Elephas maximus indicus: one gene and its partners. The protein of the gene in region 4 interacts with the protein of the main gene of each other region in a pairwise test. Links are inferred from orthologs where the notes say so. Each region holds a gene or a part of one and is shown on either strand. Other genes may lie near its edges. The genes, in order: SYNJ2, SOS1, WAS and ITSN2.

The links.
Region 1: the proteins of ITSN2 (region 4) and SYNJ2 interact in a two-hybrid assay, tested with the Homo sapiens proteins (2 studies listed by BioGRID and IntAct). The link is inferred for Elephas maximus indicus from reciprocal best matches to the Homo sapiens genes ITSN2 and SYNJ2.
Region 2: the proteins of ITSN2 (region 4) and SOS1 interact in a two-hybrid assay, tested with the Homo sapiens proteins (2 studies listed by BioGRID and IntAct). The link is inferred for Elephas maximus indicus from reciprocal best matches to the Homo sapiens genes ITSN2 and SOS1.
Region 3: the proteins of ITSN2 (region 4) and WAS interact in a two-hybrid assay, tested with the Homo sapiens proteins (2 studies listed by BioGRID). The link is inferred for Elephas maximus indicus from reciprocal best matches to the Homo sapiens genes ITSN2 and WAS.

What each region holds. Positions count from the first base shown.
Region 1 is NC_064819.1:230,244,387-230,251,494, reverse strand, and holds the start of SYNJ2 (synaptojanin-2), read right to left. Parts: upstream 3,004-7,108; 5' UTR 2,717-3,003; coding exon 2,590-2,716; intron 1-2,589. UniProt on the Homo sapiens protein: Inositol 5-phosphatase which may be involved in distinct membrane trafficking and signal transduction pathways. May mediate the inhibitory effect of Rac1 on endocytosis.
Region 2 is NC_064844.1:24,621,217-24,628,852, reverse strand, and holds the start of SOS1 (son of sevenless homolog 1), read right to left. Parts: upstream 3,007-7,636; 5' UTR 2,909-3,006; coding exon 2,822-2,908; intron 1-2,821.
Region 3 is NC_064846.1:122,887,730-122,895,410, reverse strand, and holds the start of WAS (actin nucleation-promoting factor WAS), read right to left. Parts: upstream 3,011-7,681; 5' UTR 1,840-3,010; intron 1-1,839. Other genes in the region: GLOD5 (glyoxalase domain-containing protein 5), read left to right, coding at 3,367-3,452. UniProt on the Homo sapiens protein: Effector protein for Rho-type GTPases that regulates actin filament reorganization via its interaction with the Arp2/3 complex. Important for efficient actin polymerization. Possible regulator of lymphocyte and platelet function.
Region 4 is NC_064830.1:41,935,899-41,943,496, forward strand, and holds the start of ITSN2 (intersectin-2), read right to left. Parts: upstream 3,014-7,598; 5' UTR 2,924-3,013; intron 1-2,923.

The DNA of each region.
Region 1 (7,108 bases), on a different chromosome or scaffold from region 4:
GAGCCACACTGTACAGACGTGACCTGTTTCGGGTATTTAAAAAGTTGAAACAACTTTCTCGTCATAGAAGGTTCTTACAGTCCTCCTCTGGGGCAGCAATGCCAGCAAACGCTACAGCTGCTTTGTAAAAAGAGTTTTATTTCATTTAAGAAAACCAGACTTCAAAAGTTAAGTATTCAGCCCAGCCAGTGTCTCTGGGTGGTGTGGTCAGTCCACACACCCAGAGGTGGCTCGTAAGAAAGGGCTGGCTACCTACTTCCAAAAAATCAGTCTTTGAAAACCCCATGGAGCACAGCTATGACACACACAGCATCACCGTGAGTCAGAGGTGACTCAAAGGCAACTCATTTTTTTCCCTTTTGTTATTCAACCCCAGGTCTCCTGATAAATGAATGCTAGGTTAAGTGACAGATGTGGAGTGCACGCTGTAGGAAAAAGAGCCCAACCAGTGCCTACTCATAGCAACCCTACAGGACACCACAGGACTGCCCCACAGGGTTTCCCAAGCTGTGAATCTTTAAAGAAGCTGACTGCCACATCTTTCTCCTGCGGAACCACGGTGGTTTTGAACCACCGACCTTTCTGTTAGCAGCTGAGAGCTTTAACCACTGTGCCGGCAGGACACCTCCACCCATTTCCTTATACCCTCTGTCCTGGAATCAACCACCAATGTAATACAAATGCATCTCGGCACAAACTTCATTTCTTAATGGAAAATATGCACTATTTTACTTTCATTAATCATTTTAAAATCTTCGCTTTGGGGAAAAAAAAATCTTTTTCCCCTGGTGGCTTAAATGTCTATGAACCTTACTTTACTGTGATCCAACCGAAGGACATTTTCATATCTTTGATGAAGGGGTATTTTCGTACCATGAAATCAATCTCAGTTCTGATAAACGTTCTATGAAGTAGACGTCTAAAATGGAATGGAAATTTTTGTGGGTTTCTTTCAAGGCCTTACCAAATGACCAAATTTGGACTTCTCAGGACAGGGCACAGATTGGAATAATCGGATAATGACTTAATCCACAATTCACTGCACATTTGTGATACTGAGAATACTGGAGACATTGTTTCAGTAGTCAAGTGACTAAAAACAAGCCAGAAAATTATATGCTAATGAAGTGACTGCTGTCATCATTAGCTGCCATCAAGTCAGCCCCAACTCATGGCGACCCCACGCACAAAGGGATCAAAGCACTGTGATCCATAGGGTTTTCACGGCCTGATATTTCAGAAGTAGATTGCCAGGTCTTTCTTCCTGGTCTTAGTCTGGAAGCGCCACTGAAAGCTAATCGGCATTCTAGCAATTGGCAAGCTTCCACTGACTGACAGGTGGTAGCTGCATTTGAGGTGCACTGGTTGACGGGAATCGAACCTGGGTCTCCCTCACGGAAGGAACAGGGAAGTGGAAATAGGAGAGATGGTGCTTCCAAGGCATCCATCCTCACTGAGGAGGCAATGGATACGAATGCAGAAAAAAAGACACATTTCTAAAGACCTGAGCAAGTGAGCGTCCGCTGCACCTGCCCGGCACCTCCATTCCAGGTGACTCTGCTCTGTGCTCTGTTCAGCTTCATACACAGAAAGATGGTGGACCTGGAGACCACCCTAAGCCCACTGTCCTGTGTTGCTGTTTAAAATCCTAACAATCCTACCCGCTTTTGCTCACTTTGGTGTTACCTAGACCCTGGTCATGAATGCTGGCAACAAAACAAGGGAGGGGACGTAGTGATACAAGAAGTCGCGCACTGTGTGACCTTACAGAAATGCTCAGACAGGAGCTGTGTCGCCCTGGCAAGAAAGTTTCTCTTCAGGCCTCAGTTTACTCATCTGCAATACCAGGATAATAATATCTCTTTTCTAATTGTGAAAATTAAATGAGACTATGTCTCTAAAGTCCTCGGAGCACACCGCCCCTCTCAGGACTTCTGTGCCTCCCTTCAAATATTCCCGGCAGAAATGTAGTCACCAGGTAGTGTGTCAAAATCCACGTTCTCTACTCTGCTGTACTAACACTTCAAGCGGCGGCGCTAGCTGCAGTTTGGGGGTCGTCTCTCCGTTATAGGGCTTTGATCCTTAAGCCAGACCCACAAACCAAACGGCAATCCCTGGCTTCCTCACCAGCCGGTGCAACAGAAGGGGAGCGACCGGCGCACTGGGACCGTCATGAATGTGTAACGCGCCCCGAGAGGGCGCGCGCCCTAAATCGCCGGAGCCCGGCGCTCGGAGAACTCGACCCTCCGCGCACAGGCCGGCGGGCGGGCGGGCGCGGACCGAGAGCCTGGCCCGGGAGTGTCCCCGACCTCCGTCCCCTCGCCATGCCACTCAGAAAGGCCGCCCCCCACGCGCGACCCCCAAGTCCCGGGGACGGGAGGTGCCCTTGCTCGGTTTCAGCAAATGCGGGGTCTCCGCTCTGGGGGCCGCCCCTGGGCCGGAGAGGAGGGGACCGGGGCCAGGAGAGGAAGGGGCAGGACCCGGGCCCGGTGAGGAGGGGACCGGGGTCAGGAGAGGAAGGGACCCGGGCCCGGAGAGCAGGGGACCGGGGCTCGGAGACGAGGGCACCGGGGCAGGCGCCGCACTCACCGAGCGTGGCCACCGTGCCGGCCTCGAAGAGCAGGCAGTCGCCGCGGCCGCGCGCCTCCAGCAGGACGCTGCTCTCCCCCGCGGGCTCCAGCCGCGCGAGCAGCCGCAGCCCCTTGCTCAGGGACATGGCCGGGGCCGGGATCCGGGGCCGGGGCCGCGTCGGTCCCCGCGCTCCCCGCCGCCACTTCCAGGAGTTTCACTTTGTGCGGCGCTCCCGCCGGGCGCAGGCTCCTCCCCGGCCTCCTCCTCTTCCCAGCCTCCTCCACCTCCTCCTCTTCCTCCGCCCGCGGGGCAGGTGAGAGGGCGCGGCCCGGGCCAGGGGGTTCCCCAGAGGGGAGGCCGCGTAGGGGCTGATCCTGCGCCCCAGTGGGAAGAGGGCTTCCCGGGGCGAACAGCTGATAGGAAGATGCCAGGCATTCTTCTCTGCGGAGGAGGATGAAGGCCGGGGGTGCCTGGTGCCCTGTGTAATCCTGAAAGGACGTCCGGGGCCTTATAAGGACAGCAGGCCGGCGGGCCTGCGAGGCTGAGAGCCACTGGGAGGCGGCCAAGGCCTCCCCACTGCGGCCAGGCGCTGCGCCCCCTCTGCGGTTCACCGCTGCCACCCTGAGCAAGTCAGTACAACGCTCTGTGCCTCAGTCTCTCTGTCTGTACAGTGGGAGGGAGTAATAGGGTAGCGGTGAGGAGAAACCCATTGCCTCAGAGTAGATTCGGACTCGTGGCGACCCCATGTGTTACAGAATAGAACCGTGCCCCATAATGTTTTCTTGGCTGCAATCTTAAAGGAGTCTCGTCTTGGCGCAAATGGTTAAACGCTGGACCACTAACTGAAAGGTTAGCGGCTCAGACTCAGCCAGAGGTGCCTCGGAAAGGTCACAGCCTTGAAAACCCTATGGAGCGGTACTACTCTGAGGCGCATAGGGTCGCCATGAGTTGGAATTGATGTGAGGGCAACTAGCAACAACAGATTGCCAGGCCTTTCTTCAGCAGCAGTGCCAGGTACGTTGGAACCTCCAACCTTTAGGTTAGTAATCAAGCACAAACCAGTTGCACCAGCTAAAAAATTAATTTGGTAAAGCCTCAGTAAGCGCCTGGCACAGAGTGTTCAGTGTTGCCTTTACCACTTTCTATAAATGACGATTTGCAGTCCATTGTCCATGCCAGGTGGAGCTGTTAGGGACCAACAGGACGTTGTCATGGAAGGGACAGAATAGGCCCATGTTCTCCAGACCATGGTCTGCTACTCACTGTGGGACCTTGACCTTAACTTGTCTGCACCTCACTTTCCCTGTGGGCACTGAGTGCTAGCCCAGACCTCTGCTCTGTCTGTTTTCTGCAAGCTGGGGGAAGGTGGACCGAGGTTTGGAAGTTTCATTTCTTTCTCTTCTGATGAGTAAGTCCAGATGATCCCAGAGACTTCCATGGGGGTGTCTCCATCAGTCCCCCAAACCAACCTGGTCCTCTCTCCCTGCCCCATCTTGTTCGAACTGAAGACTGTGGACCAAGCCTTTACTCCTGGAGTTGTTCCAGAAGGAGGCAGTGCCCGAGCGCCGAGTGGACACTGTGATATCTTACAGACATTCAGGAATGGCCAGACCAGGGTTCTGCTATTTGTGGGAAACCTCTCGAGTGATGATTTGGGGAATAAAGTAGATGTGAGGTGGACAATGGGGGCTGAGATTTGAATCACTCTGGAGCCTCCTGCTCTTTCCTTCACAAATTCAGCTCCCTGTGGTGGATATCCCATAGCTGTCTGAACAGTGTCTGTATCTGTAAAATGGAGATATTACTACCTCAGGAAAAAGTGTGCCCATTGAAGAAGCTGCTGGCCCACTGCTATGGATTGAATTGTGTCTTCCAGAAAGATAATGTTGAAATCCTAACCTGTGAATGTGACCTTGTTTGGAAATAGTCTTTGAAAACGTTACCAGAAAATATTATCACAAGGCCATACCAGCGTAGGGCGAGTCCTAATCCTGTATGACTGCTGTCCTTATGAGAGAGGAGAAGAAACACGTAGGAAGAACAGCCATGTGATGACAAAGGGAGAAACAGCTGCAAGTCAAGGAACGCCGTGGGTTGCAGGGGACTACCGGAAGCTAGGAGAGAGGCATGGAACAGACTCTTCCTCAGAGCCCTCAAAGGGATTCAGCATGGCTAACACCCTGATTCGGAGCCCTGGGGGTGCTAGCCAGGTCGGCAGTTTGAATCTACCAGGTGCTCCTTGGAAACCTTGTGGAGCAGTTCTACTCTGTCCTGTGGGGTCGTTGAGTTGAAATCGACTCAGTGGCAATGGGTTTGGTTTGGTTTTGGAATAACCTGATTTGGGCTTTTTGCCTCAGAGCTGTGAGACAATAAATTTCTGTTCTTACGAGCTTTCCAGCTTATGGTGTTTTGTTTCAGCAGCTCTAGGAAACTGGTACACTCGCTTTTCCTTTCCTTTTAAACCCAAAGATCGCTTCTTCCAGGACGCCTTCCTGAAATACTTGAGGTTTCAGTTAATTGTGTCAGAATGCACTCACATTCACACTTCAGTTGGCACTTGCTCACAGATTATTTGAAAAATGTTTTTATATCTCTTTTTTACAAATAGCCTTGTTTGACAAATTACAGGTAGTCCCCGTTTTACAATGGGGCTCTGTTCCAACAACTCTGTCATAAGTTGAACACCTCTTTTGTTTGTTTTCATTTCAAAACACAGCGTTTTGGACAGTAAATCATAAAACTGAATGACAGTGAGTGAACACCTGAGAATGATAATGAATTAGGCACTGCGACACTATATGTACTACATGTTACTAAAGACAAGATGTAAAAAAAGGGACATCGTAAGTTCATTGTAATTCAAATACGTCGTACGCTGGGAACTTCAATTTTTTTTTTATATATATATTAAAAAAAAAAAAACCCTTACCATTGAGCTGATGCTAACTCATAGTGACTGTATAGAACAGAGTAGACCTGCCCCCATAAAGTTTCCAAGGAGCAGCTGGTGGATTTGAACTGCTGACCTTTTGGATGGCAGCCTTAATGCTTAACCACGGTGCCACCAGGGCTCCACTTGTATGGTACACAGTAAGGTCATTGACGGGGGGACCAAGTCTTTCAGTTATTTTTTTCTCTCCCCCTCTTTCCCACCTTCCCTGGCAGCACATAATTTAAAACTCTACACATGAGTGCTATACATATTTTAGAATTTTTTCTACGGGCAGAGACCAGCACCTGAGCTTTACAGCTTCTAGAATCTACTGTGCCATCAATCTAAGGTGAACCACTACTTTATGTACCACTGAAAAAAAAAACACTGCTAATGAAACTATATATATATATATTTTTTTTTTTTTAATGAAACTATAGCAAGCCACCGATTGGAAGATAGGCCCTGATTTCGGCAATGTTCAAATGTACATCTTAGACTCCATGAGATGTAGTAGCTGTTACCTGGGAACTGCCTGAAGGAGCCGAGAGCCTGCTGGGCCCGGGCCTCTGCCCTCTGGTTTCCACAGCAGCAGAGGAGGTGCCGTGGTGATGAGCATACCGTCTTTGTCGTGTGAGTCGGGTCATGGGGCACCAGCACGTTCAGCAGATGAACAAGTAACTTCCTTTCAATGTAGCTGAAACAGAGGCCCGGCTGATCCCTCAGGAGCTCTGGTGTGGGTGGCCCTCAGACATATCCCAAATGAACCCACTCCGTTTGTCCATTAGTCATTGGATTCCAGTTGCCTCCGAGGGGGGATAGTCTCGGGCAAGGCAGGTCCCTTCAGCCAAGAGTGACATCCCCAGCAGCTGAAGAGGAGCCTGGGGTCACCACAGCACCCTGCACCCATGTCACCAGCCTGGGCCAAGCATAACCATTAGCCTGGGTCTAGTCACCCTTCTTCCTCCCTCGCCCCCTGTTAGGGATTGAATTGTGTCCCCCCCCCCCCGGCAAAATATGTTGGAGTCCAACCCTGTACCTGTGGATGTGATCCCGGTTGGGAATAGGGTTTTCTTTGTTATGTTGAGGCCATATCAGCGTAGGCTATATCCTAAACCTAATCGCTTCTGAGTTACAAGGAACAATATAAACACAGAGACAAGGAAGGACAAATGGAGGAAGACAGATGCCACATGAAGATGGCCAAGAAATCAAGGAAAGCCAGGACTGCAGAAGCTGAAAGAGACAAGGAATTCCCACCCCCCAAGCTGACAAAGAGAGAAAGCCTTCCTCTAGAGCTAGTACCCTGAATTCAGACTTCCAGCCTCCTGAACTGTGAGAAAATAAACTTCTGTTCGCTATAGCTACCCACCTGTGGAACTTCTGATACAGCCTCACCAGGGAACTAAGACACCCCCTCAAGCTGCTCGAGTACCTTGTTAAAGCAGTCATTCTGATCAGGTCACAGCATATCCCCTCGGTAGAAGCCGAAGTCTTTGCTGTGGACCCCACGGCCCCACAGCATCTGTGGTTTCCCTGCTGGGTGCTTGGTTTGGCTCACCTGCTACGCCCCAGGGCCTCGGCCTCAGGGCCTTTGCACCTGGC
Region 2 (7,636 bases), on a different chromosome or scaffold from region 4:
GGTGGATTCGAACTACCAACCTTTAAGTTAGTAGCCAAGCGCTTAACCAGTTGTGCCACCCAGAGACTTCATAAATCAAGAAGAAATACTAGAAAATGTTAGGTGGAAGGAAGAGAGTTGATGGTTTTAGTTTGGGAAATACTGTGTTTAAGGGACGTGAAAGAAATATACGTATTCCCACACCCATTCATTCAAATAATACGAGTGCCTACGAGGTGTCTGAATATGCATGGGAGACAAAATGAAAAGTAAGACATCATCTGTGTTCTCAAGGAGCATCCAATCTAGTAGCAAAGGTGGGGGACAAATAAATGTTGTTAGGTGCCCAGCGAGATGATTGACTCACAGTGACCGCCAACTGCCCCACAGGGTTTTCTAGGCTGTAATCTTAAGGGAAGTAGATCACCAGGCCTTTCTACCATGAAGTTGCCAATCTGTTGTTTAGTGGCAGAACCTTTGCACCACTAGAGCTCCTTAGACAAGTAAATAAGAACTTAAAATTCACTGTTAAGTACTAGCCTGGAGTGCTAAAAGAAAACAAAGGAGGACTATCCAATTCAGCCCTGTAGATTCAAGAAAAACTCTGACATGGAGAATGAGTTCTGAAGGAGTAGAGTTAGGCCAGGCAAAGAAGGGCGGCCCAGGTGAAGGAAACAGCAAGTATAAACAGCCTCAGGTAAGAGAACACAACAGTTGGACACAAACAGTTCAATAAGTCTGATGGAAGAGTTCAAGATGTGGAGATACCCAGGTGAAATGTTCAGCAGGCAGGTGAAAATTCAGGTGTTCAGCTCCCTAGAGCATATCCAGATATGAAATATATTTTCAATCTTAGGTGGCTTAGAATCAATAATGAGTATATGAATGAGGATTGGAAGAACATTACATATCAGGTTGATGTGTACGCTTTCGCCTTTGCCTCCTCACCATCACTTCTACTGCCATCAGATAGTCATCTCTCTGCTTAAAGTGAATGCTGGTTTCAGTAATAAGCAAAGTTGACCAGTGGGGATTGTGGTAAACTGGAGATACATGCCTTGCTCAAAGGGATCAGCCATTTACTCAGCTCCAGCCTTACCTGAATGTCAGTTCAATACAAAAAGATCTTCCTATTCTTCAAGAAATGTTGAAAATTCAAATTGCACATAATATCTCCCGTTTTTAAATGCTGGCAGCAAATTACATTTAAAAATAACAAAACAATATTGTGCCAGCCAACAAAATGCTTCCATGGACAGAATTCAGCAATGGCCACCAGCATGGCAGAGTTAGACCAGCTCTGCCAACTCCTACACCACTCTTTCCCCTACTTCACAGGACCCTTAACTGATAGGTTATCGTGGCAGTTACCTCAAATTAGGAGTTAACTGATTCTGAACAAAATGGCCCCAAACTGATAATGTTTGAGTTCTTTTTATGTTTTCAAGCAATTTGTCTACCTCCCTGTCAGAATACCTGCTTCTAGCATCACAGAGACCTCCTACCACCCCCCCCCCCATCTATTACAAGCTAAAAAGCCAAGCCTGCAAATAAAGCAAAAGCAAACAGATGGAAAGCCTGATGGGATTTCTAAGGAGGAATAAGGTATATAAGCCATACGTTGTCTCTCTGGTTTTCTTAAAAAACAACATGTCAACAGTATTTGTAAAATTGTTGAGAAAAAAAGACAGTAACTTAAACCTGAAATTTTGAGGATATTCTGCTAACTAACTAGTTTCCACAGTAAAAACCAAAGAGGGGGAGGGGAAGAACAAGGCAAAAGGGAAAGTAAAAGTTGCCGGCCTTTGACAAATAACAGACACCTTTTAAGAAACATTTTTCAAAAGTATAAATATTTTGCACAAAAAGTACACGATAATCTCAATTGTTAAAATATATTTTAACAAGATAACATGAAACATTCTTTGAGCAACAAGAAACCGGGATTCAAGAAGAGTAAAGCGATCTCTATACTTACAGAAAAGGTAAGAGAAAAGAAGAAAACAAAAAAATACTCTGGTAGTTGTTTTTAAAGTCATTCAACACATCAGTCTCTGATGTTCTGAGGTGTATATTAAGTCACAACGTTGCTTTTCGAAGCTACTACAATGTAGCAACATTTCCTAATTATACTGAAACATTTAAAAGCACAGAACACGGTGTAGAACCTGAGATAACAATGTGGCAAACCTGAAGAAACATACAAAGGTTAAAAAGGTTTGTAATCAACAAACCAAACGACAGATTCAGATTTTCAGGCTCTCAGAAAACAACAACAACCAAAACCCTTAAAATAATGGCATCTGCACCCACCCCTGTTACTCGGAAGAGTGGAGGAATCTGGAGGAATGGGGAGTGATTACTGAGGTCGAGCAGAGCAAGCCGTGTTTCTCTTGCTACTGGCAGGAGAGCTCTGCAATTACTTAGGGCAAGCATTCTGGCCAGAGCACTCTTCGAGCCCACTAAAATGAGCAGGCTGGACGCCTACAACGGAGGCTGACAGCAGCTCCTGGTAAAACGAAGGCGGAAAAGTGGCCTGCTTTGACCTCCACTAAAAACCCGGGCTCCTCCAACTGGTGTCTCCGAATCAAGGGGCAGGGCATTCCTCGCTCAGTGGTTGGATTATTCGGACAACTCTCCCTGGCTTCCTGCGGCCTTCCCACAGCCCGGGTAATGTCAACACCGAGAGCCAGCCCAATGTGGGGAAGCTCTCAGCGTGCCGTCCCTTCGGTGAGGCCGGGAAGAAAGACGGCCCTGCGCGCCCCGCCTCCCCAGCCCTTGGCCGGCCCCGGCGCCCTCGCCGGGGCTGCAGTCGGGAAGCGGGGTCCCGCGCGCTCCTCACCTTCTTCAGCGCTGGCACCAGCAGCCCCCGCCACTTGGGCGCGTTCTCTTCGCTGAAAAACTCGTACGGCAGCTGCTGCGCCTGCATGGTGCCCCCGGGGCGCCTCTGGGCGGGGAGGGGGCGGCGGAGGCCGGGCCGAGGAGCCGCGAGAGGGCGAGCTCGCTGCGCTGAGCAGGGCCGCGGCCCCGCCGGACGGCCCGGCCCCCTCGGGGCGCCGCGCTGCCGGGCTAGCCCTGGCGAGGGGCCTGGGGGGCGAGGCCCGCGCCCGGCCACCCACCCGACACGGGCACCAGCCGCCAAGAGCGAACGCAGCCCGGAGGCGGCGGCGGCGGCATCCCGCACCACCGCCCCGGGGCCGGGCCCCCACCCCTCCCCGGCCCGCCGGCGCCGCCCCGGGCTGCCCTCCGCTGCGGCCGCCGCGCGCCCGTCCGCCGGGGCTGCGCTCCCGGGCCCGGCCTGGCCCCGCGGCGGAGCTGGCGGCGGGGGGAGGGCGTGTGGAGGGGCGCTCGGGGAGCGGCGCTCGCTCCGCGCAGCAGGGACCCCGAAACGCGCGAAGCTCCGCGCGGGGCGGAGCGGGGCCGGGGTCTCGCGGGGAAGGGGAAGGGCCCGAGGTCGTTGCGGGCAATCCGGCCGCCTGAGGTGCCGCCGCGGCCGCCGCCGACGCCGGTGTAGCGCTGGAGCTTCCTACTTGCGAACTGAACCTGCTGGCTACTGAGCATGCGCCGCCGGGCCGGAGTGGCTCGCTCCGGGTTTTCTGGCTCACCCGGGAAGGAGGCGAAGCTCGCGGGGAGGGGGCGCCCGGCCGGGCTGTGGCTGCGCCCCGGGGCTGCAGGGGAGGGGCGAAGGAGCCCGGAGAAGCCGGACCCCGACGGAGCGGGGCCGGGAGAGGGGGCGGGGAGAGACGGGCGGTGGCGAGCTCCGGGAAGCGGCCCCCATTGTGTGCATCGGTCGCGAGGGATCGCACACTTCTCTCGGAGCCCCTGGGCCTTTCGTTTCGGAAAGAGGTGCTTTTGTGTGTGTACCTTGTTCCCGAACATTTGGATAAGGACTGTCCAGAGCTTGGACGAAAGATAGTTCCCTTCTCACAGAACCTACTGCTCAATACTAGTGGGCTAGTAAAAGTGACTGCAGCGTTTCCAGGCACCAAGGCCCAAATGTGTACGTGTAGTGTTGATTTTCTGCGTGTCCGTGTTCTTACATCACATGTGTTCATCCCTCTAGCCCACTTCAAATGTGAAGTCCTCCAGTGGAGACTAGTTGAGACCTCTCCTGAAGCTCCCAAATCCCAGAGTACTTACACCTCTCTCACGAAGCTTAGTCTGTCCTGTTTCGTACCTTTCCTGGCTCTTTCGACTAGATAAGAACAGATAATAACTCCTGGAAGGCAGATCTTTCCTACCAGGGGTTTTACACAGAATAGGCACTTTTTTTTTTTTTTTTAGGCACTTAGTGAATGTTTGTGGGATCCTGGAGGAGAGTGATCTGTAAATTGTTCCTCCATCCCAGGGCTGTAGGTGTTTGTTTCTAACAGCAGCACTCTATGGCAGGCACCTCCTAGTTTATCATTCAAAACTTTTTGAGCATCATCTCATTTAATCCTCATAGCAACCCTATTGTTTTCACTTCACAGATGAGGAAACTATTAGAGAAGTTGACATTGATGAGAAAGGTTTAAACACTGGTTATTAATCTTTACAGGATAAAAGTCTTAAGACCTTCCCTTTTAAAATGTACACACATGATTTACATAAAATTTTTTTTCACTATCGAAGGGTTCAGAATAAGATTTTAAGCTCTATTTATAAGTCCTCTGGGTAAGGAGTAGAGAAACCATACCTTGGAAGGAGTTGGGGGCATGAAAAAGGGTCTCTTCAAATATCTAAAGGACTGTGATTGGAAAAAATAGTTTGTGTGGTTCTTGGTAATTGAACTAAGACCTCACCTTTGCCACAACTCTTCCTTGACTTCCCGTTGCTTTTTAATACATTTTAAGCTTCTTACCATGGCCCACAGAGCTGTGCATCTGGCTCCTATGTACCTTTTCAACCTTTTCTCGCCATTCCCAACCTTGGCTCACCACACTGCAGTCACACTGGCCTTCTGTCCGTTCCTAGAAAACTCCCTTTCCAGCCTCAAGGGCTTTGTTCTTCCCTCTGCCTGGAGCTCACTCTGCTCCTAGCTGTACACTTGGCTGGTTCTAAACCTCACCATCTCCAAGAGCCGTCTTTGATCACTCTATTTCCCGCCTGTGTTTTTCTACCATAGCCCCGTTTATTTTCTGGCTAGCACTTAACCACAGCCTCTATTTTTAGTTGTTGGTCTCCTCCACTAGAATGTACATTCCAAGAAATCAGCAATCTTATGATCATCATTGTATCCCAAAGACCTACGGTGTCTGGTACACAATACACAGTAGGCACTCAATATTCCTGAAAGAGCTGAACTCGCCCGAAGGGAACTTTCAGGAAGGAAGACTACACAGAGTTGTCCACAGGGAACGTGCGATCTTGGGAGGTGTGCAGGTAAAAACTACATTCACTCACGCGGGATGTCGGGGAGGGTTTGGAAGTTGGACTTGACGTCCGAGGTCCCTCCAATTCCCCAGTTCCTAATTTGACTGCAGAAGGAAACAAGCCCTAAAAACATGGATTACAGCCTGGGCTGGGCATGCTCAGCTTCTCATTAGCTTGAAAATATTGGCCGCAGGATGAGGGCAAGCAGCTGGAGGGAACTTGCAGGGAAGAGACTGGGCGCTTCTCAGCTGTGAGTCCTCGGGGGAATGATGCCGAACACTCAGGGGACAAAACACCTATGGAGACGAAGCGAGAGAAGATAGTCGAACCGGACCACGAAGCGTGCGAAAAAGGTCGTGAAGCCCCTGTCCCCCTCATCACTACCCGCCCATTGGGTCTGCATGGCGCAGGCGCAAAGGCTTCTGCTCGTGCTTCTACTCAGACCGAGCCAGCCCCGCCCCAGGGCGGACGTGACGTACAGGGGCGTGTCCAGGCGGACTTAGCCGAGGCCCGAGGGAATCGCGTCCAGGCGGGCTAGCTAAGTTTCGAGCGCGGGTTTCAAGCTCGGCGCGTCAGAGCTCGGGCGGCGAGAAAGGGGGCGGGGAGGGCGTTCAGCCCCGTGGTGCGCCCCCTGCAGGTGGACGGTCAGGACTCCGTGCTTTTCCCCGCGCCGCTAGCCACAATAGCGCCAGACTGTTCCCTGACTGGCTGCGGCCACAATTGCCTTCCTGAAGCACACTTCGTATCCCTCTATTCTCCTGTTCAAGAGCCTTCATCGGCGTCCCAGGATAAAGTGCAAAGTCCTAAGGCTGGCATTCATGGTCTTACACAATCGGAACACTAATCTTTCCAGCTGTATTTCCTACTCAAAATGGACTACCTATTGCCTTCTGCAAGCCCATCACTTCTTTGTTTACTACACATGCTGTTCCGTGTGCCTGGAACGTCCATACCCATTTTTCTCCAACCCTACTTGCCACAGCCCAACCCCAGCCCCCAGACATGCTCACAGTGGAACTCTTACCCAGGGTGTTGCGCCTCTGACTCAAACCCCACCTTTTCTCTGAAGCCTTTCCCAGCCCCCCTTAGAACTCCCCTTAAACTCCAGAGCCCAACAGGCATTGCTTCAAAGTAACTGTCCTCTCTCCTCCGGTAGCATATCCTCCCTTTTCATCATATCATTCTCCCGAATCCCTGCTTTGAATTCCACTTCTCCAAATAGTGTTTCTCTCCTCAACAAAAATGCACCGGAGTAAACAGTGCCTGATAAAACCATTGGGTGGATACCTACTCTTAAAAAAAAAAAAAGAAATTTTTTTTAGGTACCTTTAATTAAATACATACAGTCTCAAAGAGAAGAAGGCAGGGAGCAGAGTAAGTACTGTCAGGGAAACCGGTTTGGTTTGGTTTTTGGTTTCTCCAAGATAGATTGGACTATTCCTTGCACTTCTCCTTTTTACAGGATCCATATAGTGGTACAAACTGTTAATGGGCAGGGCAGCTAATCGAAAGGTTGGAGGTTCTAGTCCACCCAAAGATGCCCCATCAGAAAGGCCTGGCAATCTACTTCCAAAAAATCAGCCCTTAAAAACTCTGAGAAACACAGTTCTACTCTAACACACATGCCGAGTCAACTCAACAGCAACTGCTGCTTGGTTAGTTTTTGCAAAAGTCTCTTTCCAGTTGATTCAAGCTATAATGGCTTTTCAAACTGATCACATCCCAACCCAGTATAATTTTAATCAAATTTCCAATAGGCTTTGTCATGGAACTTGATAAAAGGATTCTATTTTGTATATGGAATAGCAAAGAGCTCAGAGTAGTTAGTTCTCTTGTGAAAGAGCCAAACTTTCAGTTAGCAGCCTAGTGCTTTAACCACTGTGCCACCAGGGCTCCCTCCATATAATCTATGTAGGGAATATTCCTATAACATATATATCCCAGAGAAACCCTTTCGCATTTGAAAAAAGTTCCTTGAGGCAGTGTTTGTAACTGCATCAGTAAAACAGATAAATAGTGGCATACTATAAAGCTTCAGAAATGAATGAACTACAGCTATGCCAATCAACATAGATGAATCTTAAAAACATAACACTGAGCAAGACACAGAAAACTATACACTATATGATTCATTATATGAAGTGCAAAAAACAAGTAAAACTAAATTGTGTGTTATTTATTGTAGTATGCAACCTCCAAGATGAGCCTCACCTCCTTGTGTTCATGCCCTGGTATAGGATTATATAGAATTTCTATAGAATTATATAGAAATGATGCGTATGACTTCCAAGGCTAAGTTTTA
Region 3 (7,681 bases), on a different chromosome or scaffold from region 4:
AGCCGACAGAGAGAGAAGGCCTACCCCTACAAGCTGGCACCCTGAATTCTGACTTACAGCCTACTAGACTGTAAGAGAATAAATTTCACTTTGTTAAAACCATCCACTTGTGGTATTTCTGTTGCAGCAGCACTAGATAACTAAGCCAGACTCCAACTCTACATTAACTCCTTGGTGTCAAGTCAATTCCAACTCCTAGGTGGAAGCAAACTCCCGCAGAGCGGTGGGTGAATTTGAACCACCCACCTTTCAGTTAAAAAAAAATTTTTTTTTTTTCAGTTAGCAGCTGAATACTCAACCACTGCACCACCAGATCTCCTTTCCAAATCTACATCACCCACTGCTATTAAGGCCATTCCGACTCATAGTAACCCTATAGGACAAAGGAGAACTGCCCCATCGGGTTTCCAAGGCTGTAATCATTACAGAAGGAGACAGGCACATCTTTCTCCCACAAGAGTAGCTGGTGGGTTCAAACCACCGACCTTCACTTTAGCAGCTGAGTGTTTAACCACTGCACCATGAGGGCTCCTTTCCAAATCTACATTATCCAAAAAACCAAACACACTGCTGTCGAGTCCATTCCAACTCATACAGACCCTATAGAACAGAGTTGAACTCCCTCATAGAGTTTCCAAGGAGCGGCTAGTGGATTCCAACTGCCAACCTTTTGGTTAGCAGCTGAGCTCTTAACCACTGCGCCACCAGGACTCCCTAAAAGGAAAAAAAAATCTACATTAGGAGAACTTAAATCTCTGCTACATTTGCTGATTGTTCTTGTTGTTGTTTTAATTAACATTTGAAAGTTACGTATTTCCTGAAGTCCTGATGCAAGTTGGAACACGATGAACCTTGAAAACATTATGCTGAGTGAAATAAGTCAGTCACAAAAGGACAAATATTCTATGATCTGACTTATATGAAATACCTAGAATAGGCAAATGCATGAGACCAAAGTTCATTAGTGGTTACCTGGGGCAGGAAGGAGAGGGGAGAAGGGAGTCCTTGCTTAGGGGGCACTGAGCTGCTGTTAAGGGGACAGAAAAGTTTGGAAACACATAGTGGTGACGGTTACACATGATGAGTGTAATTAATGTCACTGAATTGTACATGTAAAATAATGTTGAAATGACAAAGCTTTTGATATATATATGTACTTACCACAATTTTAAAAACGTGGGGGACTTAACTCAGCACCTAAAAAAACGTTTTATATTTCCTGTTATTTCTAAGTAGCAGACAGGTTTAAAATTTATATTTTTCTCTAAATAAACAACCTGAAGCAGATTTTGTTATTTTAGTCCCTAATAGGATTAGTTTCCCCACACTGGAATACTGTGATTTATTAATAATTTTCATATCATTTTTTCATATTATATATTATTGAATTACTCCGTTGACCTACATTAATAATTTGGAGCTAGTTTTTTTTTTTTTTTCTCCTCTTAAATGTGTCCCCATTAGCTCTTGCTTTTCTGCACTGGATGTCAGTATTTGGTGAGGTGATGACCTCAAAGATAAATTGCTCTCCTGGACCTTCAAATAGATCAGAAAAAAACCCAAACACTTAATCCAGCTTTTCTGATTGTTCTCAGCAGGAGAGTTGGTATAACACAAGTCCATCGACTGCACTGGAAGCAGAAGTTCTAATTTACTTAATAATGTAGTGAACACCCACGAACCCCCAAGCACCAGGTTGTGTTCAATAATGTACAGCCACCTGATGCTCTCCCATGATCTACTCCTGACAAGCCCCCTACCCGCAGTGGGCACTAGATCCGGAATCACTTCCTGCTTATATCTTGTGCTTAAGCTTTTTTTACTTTGAGAGGATCTTACCACAAGATCACGGTCTCCATGCTCAAGCCCTGTGGGGGGTGTCTGCTCCTCACCATGCGACTGAGTCCATGGAGGAGACGTGGACATGGGTTGGGTACAACTGCTGTTCTCTAGGACTGACATAAGGGTCAAGATGGCAAAATTTACGTCACCCCGCCATCCTTCTCCCCTCACCTTTCTGCGCCTCATGGCCCTCCACACCCCTGACTGAGGGGCGCTTCTTGAGCACAGGCCCAACCCAAGGAAACAACAGCTCCCAACCCTCAGCTCCAACGCCCCCTTTTCATAAGAACCATTTTGGAAGGCCTCGTTTACCAGACTGAGTGACATTCATGGATGTTACAAGTCTTGGCTTTGTGAGGCTGTCCCCCAGCATCTCAGCCGCTGCCCACTCAATGCCAGTACCTCCATCATTATGACAGCCAAAATTGCCCCCCAGGAATTCCCAGAACACACCCGAGGGCGGAAAGGAACAGGACCCGTCTTGTTCACGGAGGTGTCCCCAGCTCCTCACACAAGACCCTGCGTGCAGTAGAGGCTTAATCAATGTTTGCTGAATCAGTAATAACTGTACAGTGTAGATATCCATGCTGTAGCTATCCAGACTTGCCACCCTCTCCCCACAAGGCTCCCTGTCCTTTCTTCACTGATAGCCTTTATAATCTGGTATCCCCTTCTGCCCCGGGAAAAAAACAAACCACACGTCAAGTCGACTCCAACTCATGGACACCCCGAGTGCTTCAGAGTAGAACTGTGCTCCACAGAGCTTTCTTGGATGTGATCTTACAGAATCGGATTGCCAGGCCTTTCTTCTGTGGCACCACTGGGTGGATTTGAACCGCCGACCTTCCAGGTAGTAGCCGAGAGCAAACCATCTGCACCACCCAGGGACCTTGCCCGGGGAAAGGGAGAAGAAAAACAACTCGAGGTGTCTCTACGCTGTTCACCGAAGCTATGGTCAAATAGGTTCTTTAGGGGCCCTCAAGCCACAAGCCGAAGGGAAAATTTCCAGTCCTGGTGGGGTGACGTGATTACAAGGTGTGCACAGAAAAGCAGAGACACCTGTGGTTCTCCCATCCATAGTGAAGATAATAACAGTGGTTAGGGTTGTTGTGGCGACTAAATGAGATAATTCATGTAAAGTCACTGGGACAGGGTTTGACACGTAATTATACATGATTGTTTTTGGGTTTTTAAAAAAATTATCCTGGTGAAAATGATTAGCTTTAATCAGTGTTTAAATGCCAAGTAGATCGCAGTACATCCGAACAATTAAAACAAACCATAATAATTAAAACCAGGAAGCTATGTAAATACAGTATTCTCTTTGAATAAGCTTTATAATTCCAATCTTGTATAATCTTTTGTTGTTGTTGTTATGAAATAGTTGGGTAACTTCGATAAATGAACTATCAACCGTGCGGCCTAGCATTCACACCCTCCCCTATCAGACTTTCAAGTCAGAGGCCCAAAACACATGACCACCTCTCCACTGCTCTTTCTTCACTTTTCTCAGAGGGCTTTGAGATGCTCCTGGAGCCCACCCTGCCAACCTCAGAAGTCCCACCCACCGCGTTTCCCGCCCTACTCCCTCCACCTGCGCAGGAAACGCTGTGAGTCAGCCCCCCTCTTTCCCTCCCTCTAGGTTTGTGCTGCTAACCTTGGACCAGCCAGGGGTCCCTTCTAGTCCCTACACTGTCCACGCCCTTAAAATCACCATCAACTCTCCCTGGATGGATGCTTCCTTCCTCCTTGCACCCCAATCTGTGACCCCCATAAGCGCCCACACCCCTGTCTGTGTGACCCCAAGGAGTACTAACACTGCAGCCTGGAATGGACCACAACGGGTGTGGGGAGGGACGACGCAGAAATGGAACAGTCCGCGGAGGATCGTACCACCGGGGAGGCGGTGGCCATCCTGTTACATACCATTTTATTTGTAGGGGAGAACTACTAAAGGGAGGGCCTGGATGGCGGGAAGGGTTAACGGCTGGACGACTATGCAGCCCAGAGGTTGGGGTTCGAACCCACCCAGAGGCGCGTCGGAAGACAGGCCTGGCCTCTGCTTCGGAAAGGTCACAAGTTTGGAAACCCTGTGCAGCAGTTCTACTCTGCACACGTGGGGTCGCCGTGCGTTAGGAATCGATCCCCGGCCCCGGAATCTGCCCAAGCTCCTAAGGGATAGGGGAATGTCGCGATCTTGCTCATCCGAAGACTCCCTTCCCGTCCTCCCGACTCCCACCCACCTTGGGGGACCTCACCCTGCAGCCGCACCCTCAGCCTCTCTAACGTCCGCCATCTTAATCTCTCTCCCCCAAACCCCACGCCGTCGAGTCGATTCCGACTCATAGGAGCGCCTGGTGGCTTCAAACTGCTGACCTTTTGGTTAGCAGCCGTAGCTCTTAACCGCTACGCCACCAGGGTAACGCCCTCTCGAGCCCTTCATTCCCAGCCAGTTCTCAATGCACCAAGTAGGCAATTGGCTCATGGTGGGGAGGGGGAAATCGAGGACCGCCGTGAGCGCCGATTGGCCGGAAACCGAAGTCTCCTCCTTGCTACGCTTTGAAGCTTCCGGGTTCTCCGAGGGAAAACAGCCCCGTCGCCATTCTGCGCGCCGGGCTCCTATTGGCCGCTGGTGTGGCACATGCGCGGTGGATGCCAGTCCAGTGTATTTGGGTGCGCTGAGGTGGGGCCTTGAGGATTTAGGCTGGAGAGTTCTAATACCGCCGCTGAGTGTCAGTATGTTCACCTGTAAAAGGTGCTGAGGATGGTGCTTACTGTTGGGGTTTAGTGAGATCACGCGCCAGGGTGTGGCGCTCGGTGTGCTGGGCTATTCGATCTTAACCTCTGTGACAAACCCAGTAGGACAAACTTAACCGCCGCCCAGTCGTTCTCGCATTCACTTATTCTCCAGTTTACTCAAAACGAAAAGTGTTGCTTTGAGTTTAGGTTTTAGGAAAACTCCCAGAGGTTACTTTAATGAAGTTAAGTTCTGCCGCAAGGGGACAGGCACAGGGAGGTGTCTGGCTCTCCTGACACCTTAACCACGCAGTTTACAACAGTTAAAAGCCCTAGTGACAAAGTGTGTCTGAGAGAATAAACACTTGCCCCATTTTTTTTTTTTTTTTTTTTTTTTTGCTCACAGTGATGGTTTGGGAGCGTGAGGCCGGCTGTAATTGACAGGTGTTACTTATACACACGGTTAGTGCTCTAGCGAGTTACCTATTGTATTAGTTTCCTAGGGTGGTTGTAAGAAAGTACCACAAAACGGGGTGGCTTATTAGAACTTTATTCTCATAGAGCTCGGTGGCTGGGAGTCCAAATTCAGAGTGTTGGCTGTGTTGATTCCTTCTGAGGGCTCTGGGGGAGAATCTGTTCCATGCCTTTCCTGGTTTCTGGCGGCTTCTGGTAATCCTTGGCTTCCCTCGGCTTACAACAGCTCTGCTGTCTAGAATCTCTGCTTCTGTTGTCACATGGCCCTCTTCCCTCTGTGTCTCTTTCTTTTATGAGGATACCACTCAGATTGGATTATGAACCCACCCTACCCTAGTATGACATCTTCAAAGACCCTATTTCCAAACAAGGTCACATTCACAGGGACTTCAGCACATCTTTCTGGGGGACACGTTTCAATCCATAACACCTATTTTTAATTTTAAAATGTTACGTAGATATATATAAAGTTGAATATATGTGTATAGTACCTGCATTAAAAGTAGAAATAGATAAATATTCACAAGGATAAAGACTTTCTGAAGCATGGGTGCTGAAGAGAGGCACTTGTTGATTAGCTATTGCCTGGGAGTGTGGGTCTCTCACTGATTGGCTGACTTTCAGGACTGGAGGGGCTTAGCACTGATTGGCTGACTTCAGAAGCATGACTACTGGAGTGAGGCACTTGCTGATTGGCTGTTGTCTAGAAGCACGGGGCTGTCCCTGATTGGCTGACTTTCTTGACTAGGGAGTTTTTCATTGATTGTCTGGCTAGGAGGATTGAGGTTACTCCTGATTGGCTGACTTCAGAAGCATGGCTACTAGAGTGAAGCACTGCTGATTGGCTGGCTTTCAGGACTGGAGGGGTTTATCACTGATTGGCTGAGTTTCAGAAGCATGGCTACTGGAGTGACGTACTGCTGATTGGCTGCTGTCTAGAGGCATGGGATCGGCACTGATTGGCCGACTTTCAGGAGAGGGTAATCACTGAATGAATTGCTAACTTTCAAAAGTCTAGTTGCTGAGTGAGGCTGTCGTTTATCGCCTGATTTTCAGAGCATTTGTACTAACCTGAAGATATCTCTAATTATAGGTGGTTATTTGTTCACAACTTGGACCCTTGGCCACAAGAATAGTCTTTTCCTTTTTTCAGTACGAAAAACAAGTGCTTTTAATTCTCAGCGCCCCTTTTGGTCTTCCCTCAGCCAAACCTGCAGGAGAGATCATAAGGGATTATCCAGATCTTTATTTGTGAAGGCATGATTTTCAGTAGCGTTGCCGTTTACGTGATTTACGCGTCGATTAGTGTGGAGGAAAAACGCTCCAACTGCCAGATTTTTGCAATTTTCCGAAAAAACTGTATACAGGATCTGTAGACCACCCTGACAAAGTCAATACAGGACATATAACAAAATAGTTAAATGCATAGGATGTCTGGCAACCATACCTTGGACCTAGATGCCACAAAAAATGTATTTCACAGAAAACTGATCCACTACAGTATAAAGTGAACACCAACAAAACCGACTGCCAGCTGAAGAAATAGAGCAGGTAGGTGTTGGCAAACTTTTTCTTTAAAGGGCCAGATAGTTAATATTTTAGGCTTTGCAAGCCATATGGCCTCTGTCGCAACTAGTCAACTTTGTCATTGTCTGTGAAAGCTGCCACAGCCAATACATAAATGAATGAAGGTGGCTGTGTTCCAATAAAGCTTTATTCATAGATACTGAAATTTGTATTTTATAATTTTCACGTGTCACAAAATATTCTTTTTAAATCCTTTTTCAACCATTTAAAAATGTCAAAATTATTCTCTGCTTGTGAGGGTACAGAAGCAGGCAGCAGGCTAGACTTGGCCCCTGAAATAGAGCATCTAGAGGAGAACAGAAGCTCTCAATGAATCCCTTCCCCAGCACATCATCCTCTCTTCCCCCAGAGAGAACCACCTCCCTGATGCTTGTGGTCATAATTTCCTTACTTTTCTTAACCACTGACATCTGTGAACCTAGACAACAGTTTAGATTTGCCTGTTTAGAACTGTACATAAATGGGATCATGCAGTGTGTATTTTTTGTGTCTTGCTTTTTTTCCACAACATTATGTCTATGAGATGTATATATGTCGTGTGTAGCTGTACTCCATTGTTACATATTCTACCATTTGTTTATCCATTCTCATAATGGGCATTAACAAGTGGAATTTCTGGGTTACAGAGGATGCCTATTTTCAAATTTTCCTAAATAATTCCAAATGGTTTTCCAGAGTGGTTGCATCATTTCACATTCCCTTCAGTGGTGAAATTACCTTAACATTTTTTTTTAACCAATCCAATATTACATGACAATGCCTCATTTGGTTTTAATTTGCTTTTCTCTGATGAATAATGAGGTTGAACATTTTTCACATGTTTAGTGGCCATTTGGAGATCCTCTTCTGCAATGTGCGCTGACGGCAACGGATTTTTTAAAAATTCCGTTAGTGGCCAAACTTTAAAAAGTTAGAGATTCTCTACTAAAATTCAGATATCTGGCTTCTGTTGAGATTTAGAAGATCTGGCCACCTATACAGCAACTGTGGGCTGAAGCTTCATAGTGGCTTAGAATCAGGCAGGCTCCAGATGGAATCTCAC
Region 4 (7,598 bases):
TCTGCAAATGAAATATGCTGCCTTCTTTGAGTTCTGAAAAATAAGATTACTTCTTGATATAGTCACAGTCCTATTTCTGTTCAGTTTCCTCCACCCTCCCCCTTCTTCCTCTATGCCTTCATATCCTTTAAGACCAGTTCAGTTCCTCCTTCTCAAGGATACGTACATGTACACTTTACCCAATGGGACTCTAACATTAGTCTCTGCAGTTACAGGATAGTACAAAATCAAAAATGAACTCAAGTAGAAAATACATCATATCTGACGCATTTTCAGCTACAGAATTCTAAGCATTCTTAGTTTTCTACTTCACACTTGGAACTTTGCCCTTAATAATGAGCACACAAAAAAGTCTACCTTTTTTTAGCCTTTCTTCAAAAAGTTTTTCCACAATTTTTTTAATCAATTAGGTACTGAAAAGACCAAAATAGAAAAAGATGAAACAAGCAAAAGCATTGTTACATGGTAATAAATATATCACATTTTTAGTAATGTAATTCTGAACCATTTGCAGAGCTTTTTAATATAAAAGCTTTACAATTAAATATAGTCTATAAATAGTCTATTACTTATCTTCAATGGATTAATATGTACTTTCATTCATTCACTGAACAAACATTTACTGAATGCCAATATAACTTTTTTTTTTTTTTAACCAAAATGATTATCACCATAAGGCCATAAGCCTTAAGGTTATTAGAAGGACCTTGGTTTTAAACTTGGCTCCTGTACTTACTACCTGAGAAACCTGAAGTAGCCAGTTAACCTCCAGGTACTTCATTTCCTTTATCTATTTAATGGGAAGCCTTATAACTACTCTCAAGGTCTTTGTGAGCCTTAAATGATTATATAAGGCATTGAGCATAGGGTCTAGCACATAGTAAGTGCTCAATAAAGGACAACCATGGTAACTATAATACTGAAGAAGGTATAATTGAAGGAGTTGGCTGATGAATGTTCTTTTATCTTGCTAGAAAGATGGAAATTTGTGAAGCTCAACACATTAACAAGATTAAAACTAAAAATCCTTGAGGTTGTGTAAGAAACTTTCCACTTTTTTTTTTTTGAGGTATATTAAGTACGTAGGGTGAAATCACTAAAAAATAAAAACAAGAAAGAAAAAAAGAGCATGGATAAAGAAAATCTTGGATATTGCTGAATTTGGGTGATGGATGTATAAAACCCAAAGCAAACCCATTGCTGAGGAGTCGATTCTGACTCACAGCGGCCCTAAAGAACAGAGCAGAACTACCACATAGGGTTTCCAAGGAGCACCTGGTGGATTTGAACTGCCGACCTTTTGGTTAGCAGCCAAACTCTTAACCACTGCGCCATTAGGGTTTCCGATGGATGTATAGAGGCAGTAAATTTGTGATAATGCAAATTAAAAAATATATAAATTCCAATCCCTAGGATGTGTTAAACACAGTCCCGCATATTCAGTAGAGATCTGGATTTTAGCCTCGACACCGACAAGTAAGGGTCAAGTTTTCTCTGACTAGTTTATCTTCACTATAATTTTTTTTTTTATAAAGGTGAGCAAAAGGAATAACTACCTGTACTTGAAGGGAGAAAAAACTACAAGCTTCTCAGCTGCTTACTAACGTTACACCAGCAATACACATCTTTTTTTTTTTTCAAATCCTTGAAAAACATGAAATACTGTTTGTTTTTAAATTACGCTTCTAAAAACTACTTGTACTTTATTTACTTTTGAAATTACAAGGGAATCATAGGCACAGCCAAAGAAACCTAAAGGTAAGCACATCTGACTTGCTATCTTTAAAACATCATTACCAATGTGTGTAAAGGTTTTATGTAATGCTTCTAGGTTTCTTTTAAATTTTATCGCTGATTAACAATATAGCAAACCAGTACAGGAAGGGAGGCAATAAATTTTCTTGAGAGGCTTAAGAAGCATAAGAAACAACACAAAATTTCAAGTCACACCTTGTCTATTTCTGGGTAATCAAGTGTTTTTACTAAAACAAACTAGAAGCATTTAGCAAAGCAACAATCATTGTGTTAGCCTAAATTTCCATCATAAAGCTGTTGGCTCCATCAAATATATTCCTAATTCAGAGGTCAATGCAAGTTTCAAATGAAACATATTTGCCAGCCGTAATCATTCAACGATAAAGCACGTTATGAATATATTCAAACACAAACACCTTTCCACAGTATGTAAAGCTATCTGCAGTTTCAGCTTCGGTTTCCCCAATCACTACCCACATGCAGGCGTCTTTTTTATTTTCTTCAAAAAGCAATAAACTTTACTCCGGCCTAAGAGATTCCATCTCTCCGTGCTTCCTGTATACCCTGGAAGTCAACAACCCCAAAGTCAAATTTTAACATTTCTCAACTGGGTTTAAGCGAGCGGTGGACGCCAAGCATCGCCCACTGTCCTCTCGTGACTCGGGCTACTCTGACGCACCGGGATGCGGTTCACCTGACATTCCACACCAACCATTCCCAAGAAGGAAAACCAACTCCGCGAAAATAAAATGGGTCCCCAAGGAAGCGTGCGCGTGCCCTTACGGGTTCTCCTCTGCCTGCACCCCGAAAGGGAGGGGACCACGCCGCTTCCGACCCTCGGCGGCGTCCGCCACCTGCCAGGCGAGAGCGCGGCCGAGGACCGGGGCTCGGCCGCCAGGAAAGGAGTAGCCTGGCCCTGGCCATCTCGGCGTCCGCCCTCGCCCCACTGCGGGGGCAGGAACCCCGGGCCGGAGGTTTCCGCCCGGCGCGGCTAAATCCGCGAGGGGCCTAGCTCGGTGGCCGCTCGGGTTTCTACAGACCCGTCCCTTTCGTCAGGGGCGGGCAGCGACCTCCCAGCCCAGCCCGCTGAGCCTCCCGGGCGGCGGGTGCGACGGCGCCCGCACCGGCCCCGCGCCCTGCAGCAGCCTCGGCGAGTGGCTCTACCTACCTGGCGCCCCCGCCGCGCCTCCCGCACGTCACGGCGCGACCCTGCGCTCCTCGGCACCAGCAGCGCGGGCGCAGGAGGAAGCCAGGAGACCTTACTTGGCCGCCGCCGCCGCCGCCCGGTGCCTCAGCAGGCCGCCGACAGCGAACCTGTTGCGCAGCCTGTCACGGCCGCTCGGGCTCCGCCAGCGCCGCCTCAGCCCCACAACAACATGGCGGCCGCGGCCTCCGCAGGAAGCCGGGGGGCGGGGAGGTAGGCGACGGGCCGGGCAGCTGAGTGCCCGCCCGCCGCAGGGCACCAACTCCCCCACCCTCGGGAGCCCGAGATTGGCCCGGGAGCGGCTTCTCACCCCAGGGCCCCGGCGCACCGGACCCCGCGGGCTTGATCCGGGAGTGCTCTGCTCTCCCCTCGGGGAAGCCCCGAAGCCCCGACCTGGCAGCCCCTCCTAGAGCTGCGACGACCCACCTGGCTCCTCCTCCCCGAGGTGACATGCTGAGGTTGAGTGGTACGCTTCCTGCCATAGCAGACCCCGGGGTTTGGAAGGTACCAAGCGGAGGGCCAGGCCCACAGAGGGCTCTGCCTGCGACCTTCTCACTTACCGAAGCGTTCCTTCACTGATCTGGGAGCACGAATTCCCTAGGAATGGGAGGCTGAGGAGTGGAAGGGAGGTGGTTCTCACCCTTGTTCGAAGGTCTAGTACAGGCCTCTCTGACCCTCCTCAGGGACCTTAGATACCCAAGGGCAATCCATTCAGCGTTCCTCACCCTCCTCCAGAACACACACAAAAAAACGAGGAACATTCCCTGCCTCCATGCACACAGGAGAGCAACTCCCCCCCCCCATACGCTTACCTTTAGAAGAGTCTCTCACCCCAAACTCCACTGCCTGCAAGCCTGCAGAAGGTAAACATTGTTCCCCAGCCCTTAGCTGACTGACAGGTCAAACTCAGAATTTCTTTTATCTCACTTCCAAGCTCCTAGTCTCCTCACAAAAGACCAGACATCTACTCAAGACACCACCATGTACCAAGCACTTCTTCAAGGGAAAGGCTTTCTATCGGTAAAGGGTAAGAGAGGGAGTCAGTGGTTTTGGGGGGCATAAAAAAATGGGGATTTATGACCCAGTTTTTTGTTTTGTCTTGCTTTTTGGCTTTTAGAAGCAGGGTTGGGGCTGGTCCAGAGTACTAAACTCATACCCCCTTGACTTGGTACATGAGAAATCTGTGTAGATCAAACTGATCCCTTGGCTTTCTTTCATTCCTTACCAATTGGGACAGGTAGCAGTGTTGGCTTGAGAGATATGGCTCCAAAGCTCAGACCTATTTGAACTGGCCAACTGATTCATGTGAGGAACTTAACAAATATTAATGATGATAAACAGGCTTTTCCCAATCTCACACTTAGTGTTTTCCCAACTCTTCTATTAGGAACTGACCAAGACCTGACAGGCAGGTCCTGAGTTTCAGTGACACAGAGAGATGTAACTTCTTTGTATCAATCTATGAGGTCCCTTACTTGCTGGAGACAAGTTTGTCTCCCTTCTGCAAACGAGCCACCCGGGGTAGGCATAGCACTCTTGAGTACATGGTCTAAGTCCCAAGGCAGACAGCAGGAATTAATTGTGTTACTCTCTTTCAAAGCCCATTCTCAAGAGTGTAAGCCTCAGAATCTTCTTCAACGTAGTGCTCCAGAGAGACACTACTAAATTGCTAGAGTTGGCCTGTGAGATGAAACCTATTTTTCATTCCTGATAGGCTGATAGCCAATTTCTATTTTCTTCAATCATTTGATCAATGTCAATTGTGTTTCTGGGTTCTGAACCTGGTGCAATTCGACCTGAGTCTCCTTTCTTGCTGAAAAAAAAAAAGAAAAAAAAGAGGTGTTAAATCCTCAGTAGGACGCGTTTATAAAGAATTAAAGAGAAAGCATTAAAAAAATCTCCCTAAAGGAGACCAAAAAGGTAACAACCTCTGATAGAAATCAGAATCCTGTATAAAACTGGGAGCCTACAGTACAAGATACTGTAGGCTCCCAGTTTTATACAGGCGCTCCTTGGAAACTCTATGGGGCAGTTCTACTCTGGCCTATAGGGTCGCTATGAGTCGGAATCGACTCAACGGCATTGGGAGTGTTGGGTACAGTATCTTAAGCACTAAAACAACTATATCCCAGGATTCCATTCAGAATTTTGAGCTCAATGTGTCCATCGTATCCTATTCCATCACAGCCCCAAATGTAAGACCTTTACTCTTCTATACTGTCTCACACATATCTTCCTCCCAAGAACTTCAGGGGTGTATTGGACAATATTAAGAATTTGTAAGTAATTAGGGAAAAAAAGAAGTAAGGATTTTCAGGTTTCTGGGCAGGCCTGGGTGATGATAGTTCTATTAGTCAAGGTAAGAAATGGAATATAGGAGGAAAAGCACAGTAGCCAAAAAAACATTCTTCATGCTCGTTTTGCAGCTTCCAGATTGTGATAGATTGAATTGTGTCCCCCCAAAATATGTGTTGTAAATCCTAACCTCTATGCCTGTGGTTATACAGTAATCCCATTTGAGAATGAGTTGTGTTGTTAATAAAACAGGATTAGTATAGGGTGTATCTTGAGTCAATCTCCTTGAGGTATAAAAGAGATTAAACAAGCAAATGAGAGCAGAGAACTTTCAGCCTACTAAACTGTGAGAAAATAAATTTGTTTGTTAAAGCCACCCACTTGTGGTATTTCTGTTATAACAGCACTGGATAACTAAGACATGGATCATGATTTTTCCACTTCCATATAAAAGTCCCTTCTTCTTTGAGGCTACAACACCAGTTACACAATCCTCTACCTGTCCTCATCCATATGGTTTACCAACCTCCTGGGTGCTCCTATACATTCACCAAGAATTTCAGCACCTAGAAGTCCTCTCCACCCAGTGCCTTCCATCATCCTTAGTGCCTTTTAGTATTCGTGATTCACGTAGGTGATGCATCCACCATCCCAGTTCCTTGACTTCCCCTTCACCGCATAGAGCAGATCTTGGAACTGTATCTGAATTCTTCCCTTTGGTATTTCCCAAATCCCATCCCCGACCCCTTGTTCACCTCAAGCACCAACTGATACACTAAGTCTTACATAAGATGTGTAGATGTACCTGTCAAGGCTAAAGAAGATTAGTGATTAGTGTACAGTGAAAAGGTTAGGAGGGTCATTTTCCCAGGTCTGGAAACCCTGGTGGCATAGTGGTTAAGTGTTACGGCTGCTAACCAAAGGGTCAGCAGTTCGAATACACCAGGTGCTCCTTGGAAACTCTATGGGGCAGTTCTACTCTGTCCTATAGAATCGATATGGGTCAGAATTGACTCGATGGCACTGGGGTTTAGTTTTTTGTTTTTTTTGCCACAAGCTAAGATAGATTCGTAGGCTTGTTCCTGATAACCTAACTTTTATCATGGAGGCGTTTTATCTCAATCCATTATCCTTCCCCACTGTGTTCCCCTTCTCCAACTATACTATCCTATGTTCTATCAGTCTCCCCTTCTGTTAGTTTTCAAGGATCCCATCATTCACTTCCTCCCTAACCAGTTTACCCTCAGAACCCACAGTGCTAAGAAGTGAGAATATATAGCACAAATAATTCCAATCTTCCAGCATCCCTGAGGTTAAATAATTTTCTAGTTTTAAGAAATTTAAATAATGTATAAAGAAATTAAGAGGAAAAGGGCAACAAATATGGTCTTTTGATTGACCCAAATAGTTATTACTTTTAGTGCTTTTTGTTCTTTTCCAAGAATTCTCGTTTCCACCTGGCGTTATTTTCCTTCAGCCTGAAGAACTTCCTTTGCTGTTTCTTGTAGCTTACTGGTCATGAGTTTTCTTAGTTGTATTTTATCTGAAAATGTTGTTTTGCCTTCGTTCTTGAATCATATTTTCACTAGATGCAATATTCTGGGTTGACAATGGGTTTTTTGTTTTGTTTTTTCTCTTTCAGCGTTTTAAAGAGGTTGTTGCATTCTCTCTGGCCTCCATAGTTTCTGTTGAGAAGTTAGCTATCGATTAGGTTACTGTTCCCCTTATGTAATATGTTATTTTTCTCTTGCTGCTTTCAAGATTTGCTCTTTAACTTTGGCTTTCAATAATTTGACTATGCTGTGCCTCAGTGTGGTGTGATAGATTGCTTTTATATGGCCATTCTTTTTTTTTTTTTTTTTAATTGTGCTTTAGGTGAAAGTTTACGGCTCAAGTTAGTTTCTCATAAAAAATTTATGTGACCCTAGTTGCAATCCCTGTAATGTAACAGTACATTCCTCCTTTCTACCCTGGATTTCTCGGTCCATTCAACCAGCTCCTGTCCCCTTCTGCCTTCTCATCTCGCCTCTGGACAGGAGCTACCCACTTAGTCTTATGTATCTACTTGAACTTAGAAGCACACTCTTCATGAGTATCATGTGTTTTCTTTGTCTGAAGAGTTGGCTTCAGGAATAGTTTTAGTTCTAGGTTGACAGAGAGTCCAGGGTCCATGTCTTCTGAGGTTCGTCCAGTCTCAGTCAGACTATCAAGTCTGGTCTTTTTACTGGAATTTGAGTTCTGCACCCCAATTTTCTTCTACTCCGTCAGGGACTCTCTGTTGTGTTCCTTGTCAGGGCAATCATTAGTGGTAGCCAGGCACCATCTAGTTCTTCTGGTACCAGGC